Linked DNA regions of Rattus norvegicus. Each later gene encodes a partner of the first gene's protein in a complex. Links are inferred from orthologs where the notes say so. Each region holds a gene or a part of one and is shown in the gene's direction. Other genes may lie near its edges.

Region 1 (4,297 bases):
AGAAATAAAGACATTCTCGGATAAAATTTGGTAAGTTCGTTTATTGTAAGAAATCCTAAGGGGTTGAACAATGAGAGAGCTTAGTGTCACTGTAACTTTGGTTTCTAATTCTAAGTGGTTTCTAAATCCATCAAATGGGGTTTGTTCCTGGAACAAAAGAACGTTTCAACATAATTAAATATGCAACAGACTACTTGAGACAGTAGGCAAAAATCCCCCAAACTTATCCCAGCTTACAAAGGAAAAAGTACTCAACAAACTGAAACATTAAAAACAAATGATTTAAATCATTATTAAAAAAAAAAAAACAAACAAACAAGGAAAACCTTGTCTCAAAAAACAAAAACAAACAGAAACAGAAACAAGGCGCTGGAGAGAAGGCTGGGTTAAGAGCTCTTTCAGAGTAATGGCGGTGGGCTCCCTGCCCGACTGGGTGGCTCACAACCATCTGCTAACTCCAGCTCAAGCGATCTCAGTCTCTTCGGACCCTATTGACGCCACTTACACTCACATGTACGTAACCGCACACGGGCACACAAAATAAACAAACCCTCTAAAAGCAAATACAAAACCAGACGCTGGAGAGACAGCTCAGTGGTTAAGAGCACTGGCTTCTCTTCAAGAGGGATTCCCAGCACTCACAAGACAGCTCACAACCATTTCTAACTCCAGTTCCAGGAGGAGTCCAGTTCCAGTACGCCCTCTTCTGGCCTCTGAGGATACTGCACACGCATAGGGTACAGACATGCATGCGGGCAAAACACCCATACACATAAAACAAAACAAAACAAATTCAAAAGAAATCAAAAACTTACCAAGCCGGAAGAAAAATACCTTAAATAATAAGTTTCAGATTGAGTAATTAGGAATAAAAAAAAAAAAAAAAGGAACAATGTTACCAGTGACGACTGCTGCACTTGCAGTCAGGGTCTTAGTGAGATTACAGCTTTTGCCTCAGGGTCATTTTGCCTCAGTTTCCTGTGAGATCGGAGAATTTGTTCACGCTTCCCAGAGAATTTGAGAAGTCAGAGTGAGAATCATAGCGCAGGATAGTGTAGGAGGGAAGCTGCCACCACCCACAGGAGCCTCCAGACCACAAGCGCCCGGGGAGAGTGGGATCAGCCAGGCGCAGAGCCTCAGAACGGCCCACACTACCCACGGGTTCACACGGTGAGGCCCAGCCGCAAACGCCGCATGCGCATGGGAAACTCAGTGCTAGGTAAGGGTTGTCCGGGGAACCGGAGGCGTGGCTCCGCCTCCAGAGGCGGGGTGCACGGGGATTGGCTGGATGAGGCGTGCAGCGACGGGCGGGGCGGGGCGGGACGCCATTGGCCGAATGCACCAATGGGCGGGACGGGCGCGCGGAGATTGGCGGGATGCGGCGCGGCGCGGTGAGTGTGCTGCTGAGTGGGGTCAATATGGGTGTTGGGCCAGGCTGGGGGCTACCTGGGCAGCAGGATGGGGTCTTGAGGGTGCTTCGAACTGCAACGTGGGCCCGAGGTGGGCGCGTCTGCTGCGGGACAGGTCGCCCATAGCGTCCGGCTCGGGGCACCATGTGGGCCGCTGCCACCAACGTGCGTGTTTGCCTTACATAGAGTTTACATGGGCCCATTTTGCAAATTGTAGGGTCCGCTTCCTAAGCCAGAGCTGTGCGTGAAAGAAAGCCGAGCCAGCTAGGGGAACTTGAACTTTGTAATAGCTGTACCAAAAAAGTAAAACTTGAAGAACGCTGTGTTCAAAACTCACGTTACTACATCCAACCTGTTGTCATCTCAACTACGAATGAAGAATATGTTGAAGTAGTTTATACTATATACTAAAATCCGTTGTGCATCCTCCAAGCACATCTTAGTTGGACCTCTTAGTGGGAAGGCGGTGCAATACATCCTTGAAGAAAACAAACCTTTGCCCTCCCGGAGCTTAGGATGCAGTTGAAGGAGACAAAGTGAATGCTTGAGAAGATGAATGATGAAGACAACTGAAGTAGCAAATCTAGTTAATTAGATAAGGGAAGCTGAGTTTTAAGGAAAGACTTGAAGCCAGTAAGCCTTGGGGGAATATGGGAGAGGAGCCAGTAGGAGTAGAGAGGCCTCTACTTGGAGCCTCTCCTGTCGAAGGGACACTTGGAAGGAGAAACAGGTAGGAGGGAAGGACCAGCAGGACCAGAGCTGATCTTACAGGAAGTGGTAAGAACTTGGGGTTTTATTTACCGAAAAGCAACCTCTGGAGAGTTTTGAGCAAAGCAGGGACAGCTTTATACTTCAGTTTTATCACTAATGATTCTTTAGAGACGTCTGGCAGCATTCCCAGAGGTAGCACAGTTACCAGGGAGCTGGATAGAGGCAGATCAATAATTCCACTTGAGGGTATGCTGAATTTGAGACCCTGGTGATCAGGTAGAAATAGAGAGTGGAGAAGGTGATGAGCGAGGTTTGGAGCAAGCTCCAGGATTTATCTGATTAGGTTATAGGGCAGCATCTCCTGACACATGTGTGCACATTGGGTGCAGTGTAAGCAGAGTGGTTGGGACACCAGGGGAGCTGCTGCTTCGGGTACAGGTAGGCATTACAGGAACGCCTTTGTGTGTTTCTGCAGTGATAACTCTTGGGCCTGGACGCAACTGCTTGGACCAAACAAGCCACGAGTGCCGCCATGTTTTCAGAGCAGGCAGCACAGAGGGCCCACACTCTGCTCTCCCCGCCATCAGCCAGCAATGCCACCTTTGCCCGGGTGCCTGTGGCCACGTACACCAACTCCTCACAGCCCTTCCGACTGGGAGAGCGCAGCTTTAACCGACAGTACGCCCATATTTATGCCACACGCCTTATCCAGATGAGACCCTTCCTGGTGAGCCGGGCGCAGCAGCACTGGGGTAAGCTTGGGTACGCTGCTCCCAACAGCCCAGCATCTAGAACTGGGACTTTATCTAACCTGGGGTACTTCCCAGTTACCATGGGAACAGTCTCCCGCTCTTTGCTGCTTCTTAAAGGCGAGGATTGAATTAACCTGTGGGGTTGAAGTTGGGGTTTGGCTCAGAGGCTGGTCAGAGATAAGGGCTGAGTTCGGGCAGTGATGGCTACTGTCTCATACATGGAAGACATGGTTTTACTATTCTTGCTACCTTCAGTGTGCACTGGTCTCTGGTGTGCCCACCCTATCGAGAGAGCTCCTCACAGTGGAAGCCTCAGTCTTTGAGGGATGGACCACACCTAAACCGTAGAGCCACAGGCAGGGATTCGGGATCTGTTGCTTCTGTTGACCTCTGGTGTTTCTGTGCGGTGTCAGTCCCCCTTTCCTTCTGCGGAATCGTCAGCTCCTCTGGGTGGAGCTCTGAGGAATGTTCCTGGCTCTTCTAGGGTGTGAGTGTGGCTCTGGCCCAGCCTCCACTTCACCCTCCCTCCTCAGCAGTTTGTCCTAGGATTGGGTCTGTGCCGATGAATCCCTGGAACTCTCTGGAACTCGCTTTCCTTCTTCCTGCCCAGTGTGCCTCCCCACATCTTCCCTCCTGGGCGTGGGGAACATTCACCCATGTTCCGGTTTTCCTCCTGGGGACTTTGAATGAACAAGGCTGCTGACTCCACGGGGAGTAGGGTGGGCCAGGGCGGAGGGGGCACAGAGTAGGAATTACGAGGTGTGTATATTTTCAGGGTGAGGGATCGGGCAGAGCAGGGGCTGGCACATGAGAATCCAGAGACTTAGCCTTTAATCCTAGCACTGAGGAGGCAGAGGCAGGTGGGTCCCTGTGAGTTCAAGGCCAGCCTGGTCTGTGGAGTGAGTTCCAGGATAGCCAGAGTTGTGTCATAAGACCCTGACTGGAAAAAACAAACGAATGCAGAGTCTTAAGGACATGGTAGTTGTCTGCACAGAGCATGGGACAGGCGTGTAAGTAATATCCTTCACAGTTACTTCACCTGTCCATGAAAGGAAGTGCTGTAAAGGGACTTAGAACAACGCACATCTATTCTCCTGTGGTTCTGGAGGTGTAAACTCTGAAATCGAGTCAACAGGGCTGATTCTGTGTAGAACAGAGGTTCTCAGCCTTCCTAATGCTGCGACTCTTCAATACAGTCCCTCGTGTTATGCTCACCCCCAAGCATAAAATTATTCCATTGCTGTTTCACAGGTGTAATTTTTCTATTATGAATTATGAATATCTGATATACGGATATTTGATATGCTACCCCTGTGAAAGAATCATTTGACCCCCAAAGGGTCAAGACCCACAAGTCGAGAACCGTTCTGGAGACTCTAGGGTGGGGGCCTTTTGGCTTCTGGTGGCTCCAGGAGTTCCTAAGCT
Region 2 (3,512 bases), on another chromosome or scaffold:
GGCCAACACTTTCACCCGCTGCCAGGAAGTTGGTGAGGGGGAGGTGGTAGTACGGGTGAGTCAGCGATGACAGGAGCCCCAAAACAAAGGTCATGGGTAGAAAATTGAGAGACACTGTTTACAGCAATTACCTTCTGGAGGTCTTCTCCCAGTGCCTACCATCCTCCTCTAGCTCTGAGGAGTTCTTACTCCTGCTCTTCTGTCCAGGCCTGACAACTGTGTTTGACCCTATACCTTGTAAGCTTGGGAGCTTCTAGAGCACAAGGAAGGCTAGTTAGTTACACAGTATCTGTGACTAAGAGTACTGATCACAATTTGCCTACACTTCCCACTTGCAAAAACCTCTTTTGATATCTATTTTGAATTAGCATGTGGGAGATGCTTAGAACTTGGCACATGGTAAATCCAATATGAAGGTTAGGTTTATTGAAATTATTTTCTGTTCGTGATACACATTCAGAAAACAAAAACAAAAACAAGAAAAAACAGAGCAGATCTGTCCATTAAGAACTGGGAATATGAACCCATGGAGAGTGGGGACTATATTTCTGGTGTCTTCCTTGGAATGGAATCTTCCTGACTAGCAAAGGGGACAGAGGCAGGCTGTGGGACTTGACAGCAGGCACAGCAACCGTATGCCTGGGTTGAGTGAACAGTGTCTCTGCCAGCAGACTGTGAGAAAGGAGCCTTCTGAGCGCATGGGTTTCTTCAGCAAGGTCTCCTGGGGCCAGTAGGAGCAGGGAAGGACCTGGTCAAGTCCAAACTCTCTTTGGACCTACAGATCTGATCCCACAGCGCTCTAGGGCCAACCGGCAGGAGTAAAAGGTTCTCAGGGGACTTACAAACTGGCCACGGGGATTAGTGAGGCTGAAAAGAACATTTGCCTAGGAAGGAAAAACGGGAAGTGAGAGGCCGAGGATAACTCTCTATACGTCCCTGGGGACCCAAGTAGACCAATGAGAAACCCGAGGAGGTGGTGAAGTCTGGGGCATCTTGACAGGTTCTTGGTTCCGCCTAACCCCTCCTCAATCGGAACGCAGCAGCAGCTACCCCGCCCCCTGCTTCTGCCGATTGCCATTGGCTAGAATTAAGGCCCCGCCCCGCAAAGGCCGTTTGCCATTTGCTTAGGTCTCTGATGTTTGCATGCTTGTGGGGGCGGAAGACAGGCGTCATTCCCTGGAACTTAAGGACTTCCTCTCTATGCTTGTCTGGGTCAACTTGTCTGTCCATTGCTGGCCTATCTTTCTCTGGCCCCCTCTCTCACTCTCAGCAGCTGTCTCTCACAGGCCCGCTGCCCTGCCTTTTCTTTGCCTCCTGCTCCGCCTGCCTGGGTGGCCGCCATGGGTCGGAAGCGGTTCATCACAGACTCCTACCCTGTTGTGAAGAAGAGGGAGGGGCCCCCTGGGCACAACAAGGGGGAGCTGGCACCCGAGCTAGGTCTCTGAAATGTGGGGGTGGCAGGGAGAAATGGACATGAAGTGACCAGAAAGGACTCTGTGTGTGTGTGTGTGTGTGTGTGTGTGTGTGTGTGTGTGTGTGTGTGTGTGTGTGTTGGCTAAAAGGAGAAGCTAGCATGTCTCGCACTTCCGATGAGCTGTCTGTCTGCCCGATGGCAAAGGCAAACGAGTGGGGAGATAGCCAAGAAATAGAGGCACAGCTCTGAGTCCAGGGCAAAGGCCTGGATGAGCCTGAGGAGCCACATGTTATTGCAGGGGAAGACACCCAGTCCCTCAGCCAGGAGGAAACAGAGCTGGAGTTGCTGAGGCAGTTTGACCTGGCCTGGCAGTATGGGCCTTGCACAGGTGAGAACCCCATTTCCGGCCCCTCCCATTAGGCACAGTTCTGTCATCAATGTGCCTCAGAAGTAGTCCAAGTGCCTGCCTAACTCTTGGACACCTGTTTCCTGAGACTGACGTATGTAGGCTCAAGAAACTGCCCTCTGTATTCTCTAGCCCAGACTCCCCTGCCCATCCTGACTTCTTTCCCCGGTGGTAGGTATCACAAGGCTGCAGCGCTGGCATCGGGCAGAGCAGATGGGCTTGAAGCCCCCCGTAGAGGTGTACCAAGTGTTGAAGACACATCCTGAAGACTCTCGCTTCCAATGCAGGTCAGGACAAGCTGGGACAGCCTTCAGGGAAACCAGGCACTTCTCCAAGGGTTGCCACCCTCTTGGTCTATGTAGGGGCTGCCTTGACTTGGAGAAATGGGTACAGACTTAGAGAGTCCTTCCTGACAAGCAAAAAGGGTCTTCTAGGTGCCTGGCTTGAGACAGTTCTCTACAATGACCTTACCTCTATGAGCTAATGGTGGGGGAAGAGTATATCTAGGGCCCATGGGGCTATCCATGCATACTGGGGTGTTCACCAGAGCCACAGAACGATAGGCAATAGTTACGAACTAGAGATAGTCCATCAGGGAACAGAGCCAACTTGGTTATGCATTCCTTCTCCCACCCTGTCTTCCACAGCCTCTGGCATCTCTACCCACTCTGAGGTACCACCTAGGTTGTCCCCTTGGCATCTCCTAGCCACCAAGAACTTCAGGGCAGACATCATGGCTTTCTCTGATCACCATTCCATTTTTGGATAACAAGTTAGCAGGCTGACTTTGGAGGTCTTCCTGGTCCAGCTTCTTATCTGTCTACACAACAGGCTACTGAAGCTCCTGGGGACCTGAGAAGCCGAGCAGAGCACCTCCAAGCTCTAATCATGAGCACTAGATGTCTGCCACACCCTCTCTGACCTATGGTGTGGCAAATCCAGCACAGTCTGGCATAAAGCCAGATGTAGTCAGGGCCCACCTAGGGCATCTTGCTGAGAACACAACTGGCTGAGTTCTTAATCAAAAAGTTCACTAATGCTTACAATAAAGTATATTAAGCCTGAAATCCTGACTTTAGTCTCTTAATATGCCCTACTCTAGCTGGCAGTTCCCAAAATGTAAGTAGTCTGGAGAGCCAGCAACAGCTTTTTATTTTATTTTATTTTATTTTTTGGTTGGTTGGTTGTTTTGAAACAGTTTCTCTGTGTTATCCTGGTCCTGGAACTTACTCTGTAGACTAGGTTGGCCACAAACTCAGAGATCTTCCTGCCTCGATTCCTGAATTTTGAGATTAAAGGGTTTCAATATGGGGGGGGGGGGAGAGACACTATGATCAGAATGTAAAGTGAATAAATTAATTAATGGGGAAAAAGGTCTCATAATATGGTCCTGTCTGTCCCAGAACTCACTCTATAGACCAGGTTGGTCTCTCTCTCTCTCTTTTTTTTTTTTTAAAGATTTTATTTTATTTATATGAGTACACTGTTGCTGTCTTCAGACACACCAGAAGAGGGCATCAGATCCCATTACAGATGGTTGTGAGCCACCATGTGGTTGCTGGGAATTGAACTCAGGACCTCTGGAAGAGCAGTCAGTGCTCTTAACTGCTGAGCCATCTCTCCAGCCCCCAGGTTGGTCTCTTAACTCACAGAAATCTACCTGTCTTTGTCACCCAAGTGCTGGGATTAAAG
Region 3 (3,648 bases), on another chromosome or scaffold:
CTTGCCAGCCCACTGGGATTAATGCTCAACAGCGGCTGTCCAACTGCTTTTCCTCTTTCTTAGAAAGCAGGAAGTCTGTACAGTTTCCAACATTCCCCAGTTCAAGAGGTGATTCCCGTTCCTCTGTTTATAGTTCTATAGGGCCTGGAGTCTCAAAAGTTAATACTCAGAGATCTCATAGTCAAAGTGCTATGTTTACTCGAAAGGAAACAACCTTGATTCAGAAAAGCATATTTGACCTTTCTAACCATTTGTCTCAGGTAGCACAGAGCACGCAGTTATGTTCAGGTATAATATCTCCAAAGACAGAGGAGAGTTCAAATACACAAAAGAACTGTGGGTCATCTATTGGAAAGTTAAATGAGTATCGCAGTTCCCTAGAGTCAAAGCCAGAGAAAGTCTGTGCCCCTAATTTTTTGCACTGCAGAGACAGTCAGCAGCAGACTGTGAATGTGTCAGAACAGTCAAAACCCAGTGAAACCTGTTCTCCGGGAAATGCAGCTTCTGAGGAGAGCCAGACACCTAACTGTTTTGTAACTTCTTTGAGAAGTCCCATCAAACAAATAACATGGGAGCAGAGACAGAGGGGCTGTATTTTAGAGATGTCAAGTTTTAAGCCTGAAAAGGTAAAACAGAGGTCATTGTCAGAAGCAATTTCACAAACCAAAGCACTATCTCAATGTAAAAATCAAAATGTGTCAACACCTTCAGTATTTGGTGAAGGACAGTCTGGGTTAGCTGTTCTAAAAGAATTGTTACAAAAAAGACAGCAGAAAGCACAAACCACAAATGTACAAGATTCGGCATCTAGTCATCAGCCAGATAAGGATATTTCTGTTTCTGCTGAGCACAAGAAGACAAATAAACGGACACGAGCAGTAGCATCTCCAAGGAAACCTCGAGCTCCCAGGAGAACAAAGCCTAAGGAACAAACCCCCAGACGTCTGAAAGTGGACCCTCTAAACCTGCAGACCTCTGGCCACTTGGATAACTCCCTGTCAGATGACAGTCCCATCCTTTTCTCAGATCCAGGCTTCGAAAGTTGTTACTCACTTGAAGACAGCCTGTCTCCTGAACATAATTATAATTTTGATATTAACACAATTGGTCAGACTGGGTTTTGCAGCTTGTACTCTGGCAGTCAGTTTGTTCCAGCTGACCAGAATTTGCCCCAGAAGTTTCTAAGCGACGCCGTTCAGGATCTGTTCCCAGGACAGGCTATAGAAAAGAACGAGCTTTTAAGTCATGACAGACAGAGTTGTACTGAGGAAAAGCATCACGTCTCTGACTCAGGCCCATGGGTTAGAGCCAGTACTTTGAACCCTGAACTTTTTGAGAAAGTAGGTATAGATAACAATGAGAATCATCGGCACAGCCAATGGAAAACTAGCTTTCACCCTCTGACCTCTCACTCTAACTCAATAATGGAGTCTTTCTGTGTCCAGCAAGCAGAAAGCTGTCTACCTGAAAAATCGAGACTGAATAGGAGTTCGGTGAGTAAGGAAGTGTTTCTCAGTCTCCCGCAGGCAAGCAGTTCAGACTGGATTCAAGGTCATAACGGAAAAGAAATAGAACAGTCCCTTGACTCAGCTAATACCTCTTTCACTACCGTACTTTCCTCCCCTGATGGGGAACTTGTGGATGCAGCTTCTGAAGATTTAGAATTGTACGTCTCAAGAAACAACGACGTGCTGACACCAACCCCTGATAGTTCACCCCGGTCTACCAGTTCTCCCTTACAATCTAAGAACGGCAGTTTTACTCCTCGAACTGCTCACATTCTGAAACCGCTTATGTCTCCACCAAGTAGGGAAGAAATCGTGGCAACTTTGCTAGACCATGATCTTTCAGAAGCTATATATCAGGAACCATTTTGCAGTAATCCTTCGGATGTGCCAGAGAAGCCCAGGTAATCAGAACTAATCCCCCCCCCCAACCCCTGGGTAACTTTGAATAATTCTTATTTCTATAACATTTCATAACTCACTACTAGTTTTATAGCTGTGATACTGCATTTTTAAGAACAATGAAGAAAATTATTTGTAATTAGAGACTGATTAAGCACATTCACAAACTAGAAAACACCTAGAGAAATTAAGATGATGACTCTTAGACTTTAATTTACTAGTACTTGACTCCATGTTGCCATTGAGAATTAGAGGAGCAAAGGATCACTTTGACATGTTGCAGAATTTAAATGAATGTCAAATACCTCAATGTCTTGCACGAGGAGGTGGGAGGGAGGGAGGGTCAGGATGAAGAGACTATGTATATATATGAAAATCTGAGGGTAAGAACTGAACCCAGAACCTCACATCAGAGGCAAGCACTCTACCTGGCATATACCCCACAATGATCATTTTTGAAATGGAAGTTTTACTCCTTAAGCTTCTTATATTTTTATACACTCTGTGTGTGTGTGTGTGTGTGTGTGTGTGTGTGTGTGTGTGTGTGTGTGTGTGTGCATTTCACAAGTATGGAGGTCAGAGGATAACCTGTGGAAAGTAAGTCCCACCTTTCACCTTGTGGGTCTCGGGGAATCAAACTCATCTGCCTTGGCAGCGGGTGTCTTTATCTGTAGAACCATCTCACCAGACTAAAATTGAGTTTTAGAATTTTTAAAAAACTGTTTCTTTAGAGTTTTTGTTTGTCTGCTTTCTGTTGCTGTGAGAAATACTGGATACAGCCCAGTTTATAAAGAGAAGAGGTCTGACCGGACTGATAGCTTCCTGGGTTCCAGTCCATGATGAGCCTATTGCTTGAGTCGATGGCAAGAGAGCACATCAGCGTAGGCATGGATGGCAGAGGACCAAAAGGAAGAGGCCAGTGCCTGTACTCTAAAGACCTCTCACTACATCCCATCTCACAGTTTCTGGCAACTCCCTGAATCCCAAGCTAGGGGCCAGGCCTCTGATGCATGGACATTTAAGGGCCACTCAAGACCCACACATCAGCATTGAGCACACATAAGTTATTCTATGACAGTAAATGGACATGAGTTTTTGGTATTGCTGTTCTAAACCACTTTTCATTTGTTTTCATCATCTGTAGACTGATAGTGCTATTTGTTTTTATATTTATTAAGGCATAGACAGTTTAGTTCCCCTGACTTCCTTCAGTCAAGATTTTCAGAGAAGTAATAGACCTGTAACAGCAGAGTGCAGTGGGAATTACTGTACGGGTTTCTTTAGCAGTGATGGCTCCTCTTTACCACATGACCTAACCCAAGGCTTTCAGGCGTGGAGGTCAGTCAGTAAAGTGCTTGAGGACATGAGTCCATGGTGGGTGGCTGGTTTTAAGCATAACGAAAACAAAACAGGAATGGTGTTTCGTATTTGTAACCCTCATCTGTAGAGTTGGGGAGAGCTTCGAGGCTTGCTGACCAGACAGCCTATTCTACTTGGGGACAGAAGAGAGGGTGGCACTTGAGGCACAGCACCCAAAAGTCTGTCCTCCGACCTCCACACTCACGAGTACACACAACCACACAAAACCACACCAGACTCTGAATTACGATTCTGTTTATACACATGTGCTCAAACATTAGTGGAACTAGGCTGTCTACCTTGTTCTGCCAATTCCAGAGTTCCTATGTTTATGTCAAACTCGAGTACCTGAGAGAATGGAATCATGGCAGTTCACTTCAGC

Evidence for each region.
Region 2: Pold2 (region 1) and Pold4 share a complex: the UniProt entries of both Homo sapiens proteins name them as parts of the tetrameric DNA polymerase delta complex. The link is inferred for Rattus norvegicus from reciprocal best matches to the Homo sapiens genes POLD2 and POLD4.
Region 3: Pold2 (region 1) and Rev3l share a complex: the UniProt entries of both Homo sapiens proteins name them as parts of the tetrameric Pol-zeta complex. The link is inferred for Rattus norvegicus from reciprocal best matches to the Homo sapiens genes POLD2 and REV3L.

The regions. Positions count from the first base shown.
Region 1 is NC_086032.1:84,966,172-84,970,468, reverse strand, and holds the start of Pold2 (DNA polymerase delta subunit 2), read left to right. Parts: upstream 1-1,372; 5' UTR 1,373-1,391; exon of another isoform or gene 1,392-1,574; intron 1,575-2,595; 5' UTR 2,596-2,652; coding exon 2,653-2,872; intron 2,873-4,297. UniProt on the Homo sapiens protein: Accessory component of both the DNA polymerase delta complex and the DNA polymerase zeta complex.
Region 2 is NC_086019.1:210,954,977-210,958,488, forward strand, and holds Pold4 (DNA polymerase delta subunit 4), read left to right. Parts: upstream 1-1,217; 5' UTR 1,218-1,340; coding exon 1,341-1,437; intron 1,438-1,712; coding exon 1,713-1,802; intron 1,803-1,995; coding exon 1,996-2,107; intron 2,108-2,467; coding exon 2,468-2,492; 3' UTR 2,493-2,651; coding exon of another isoform or gene 2,652-2,676; 3' UTR 2,677-2,887; downstream 2,888-3,512. UniProt on the Homo sapiens protein: As a component of the tetrameric DNA polymerase delta complex (Pol-delta4), plays a role in high fidelity genome replication and repair.
Region 3 is NC_086038.1:44,784,306-44,787,953, forward strand, and holds part of Rev3l (DNA polymerase zeta catalytic subunit), read left to right. Parts: coding exon 1-1,909; intron 1,910-3,648. UniProt on the Homo sapiens protein: Catalytic subunit of the DNA polymerase zeta complex, an error-prone polymerase specialized in translesion DNA synthesis (TLS). Lacks an intrinsic 3'-5' exonuclease activity and thus has no proofreading function.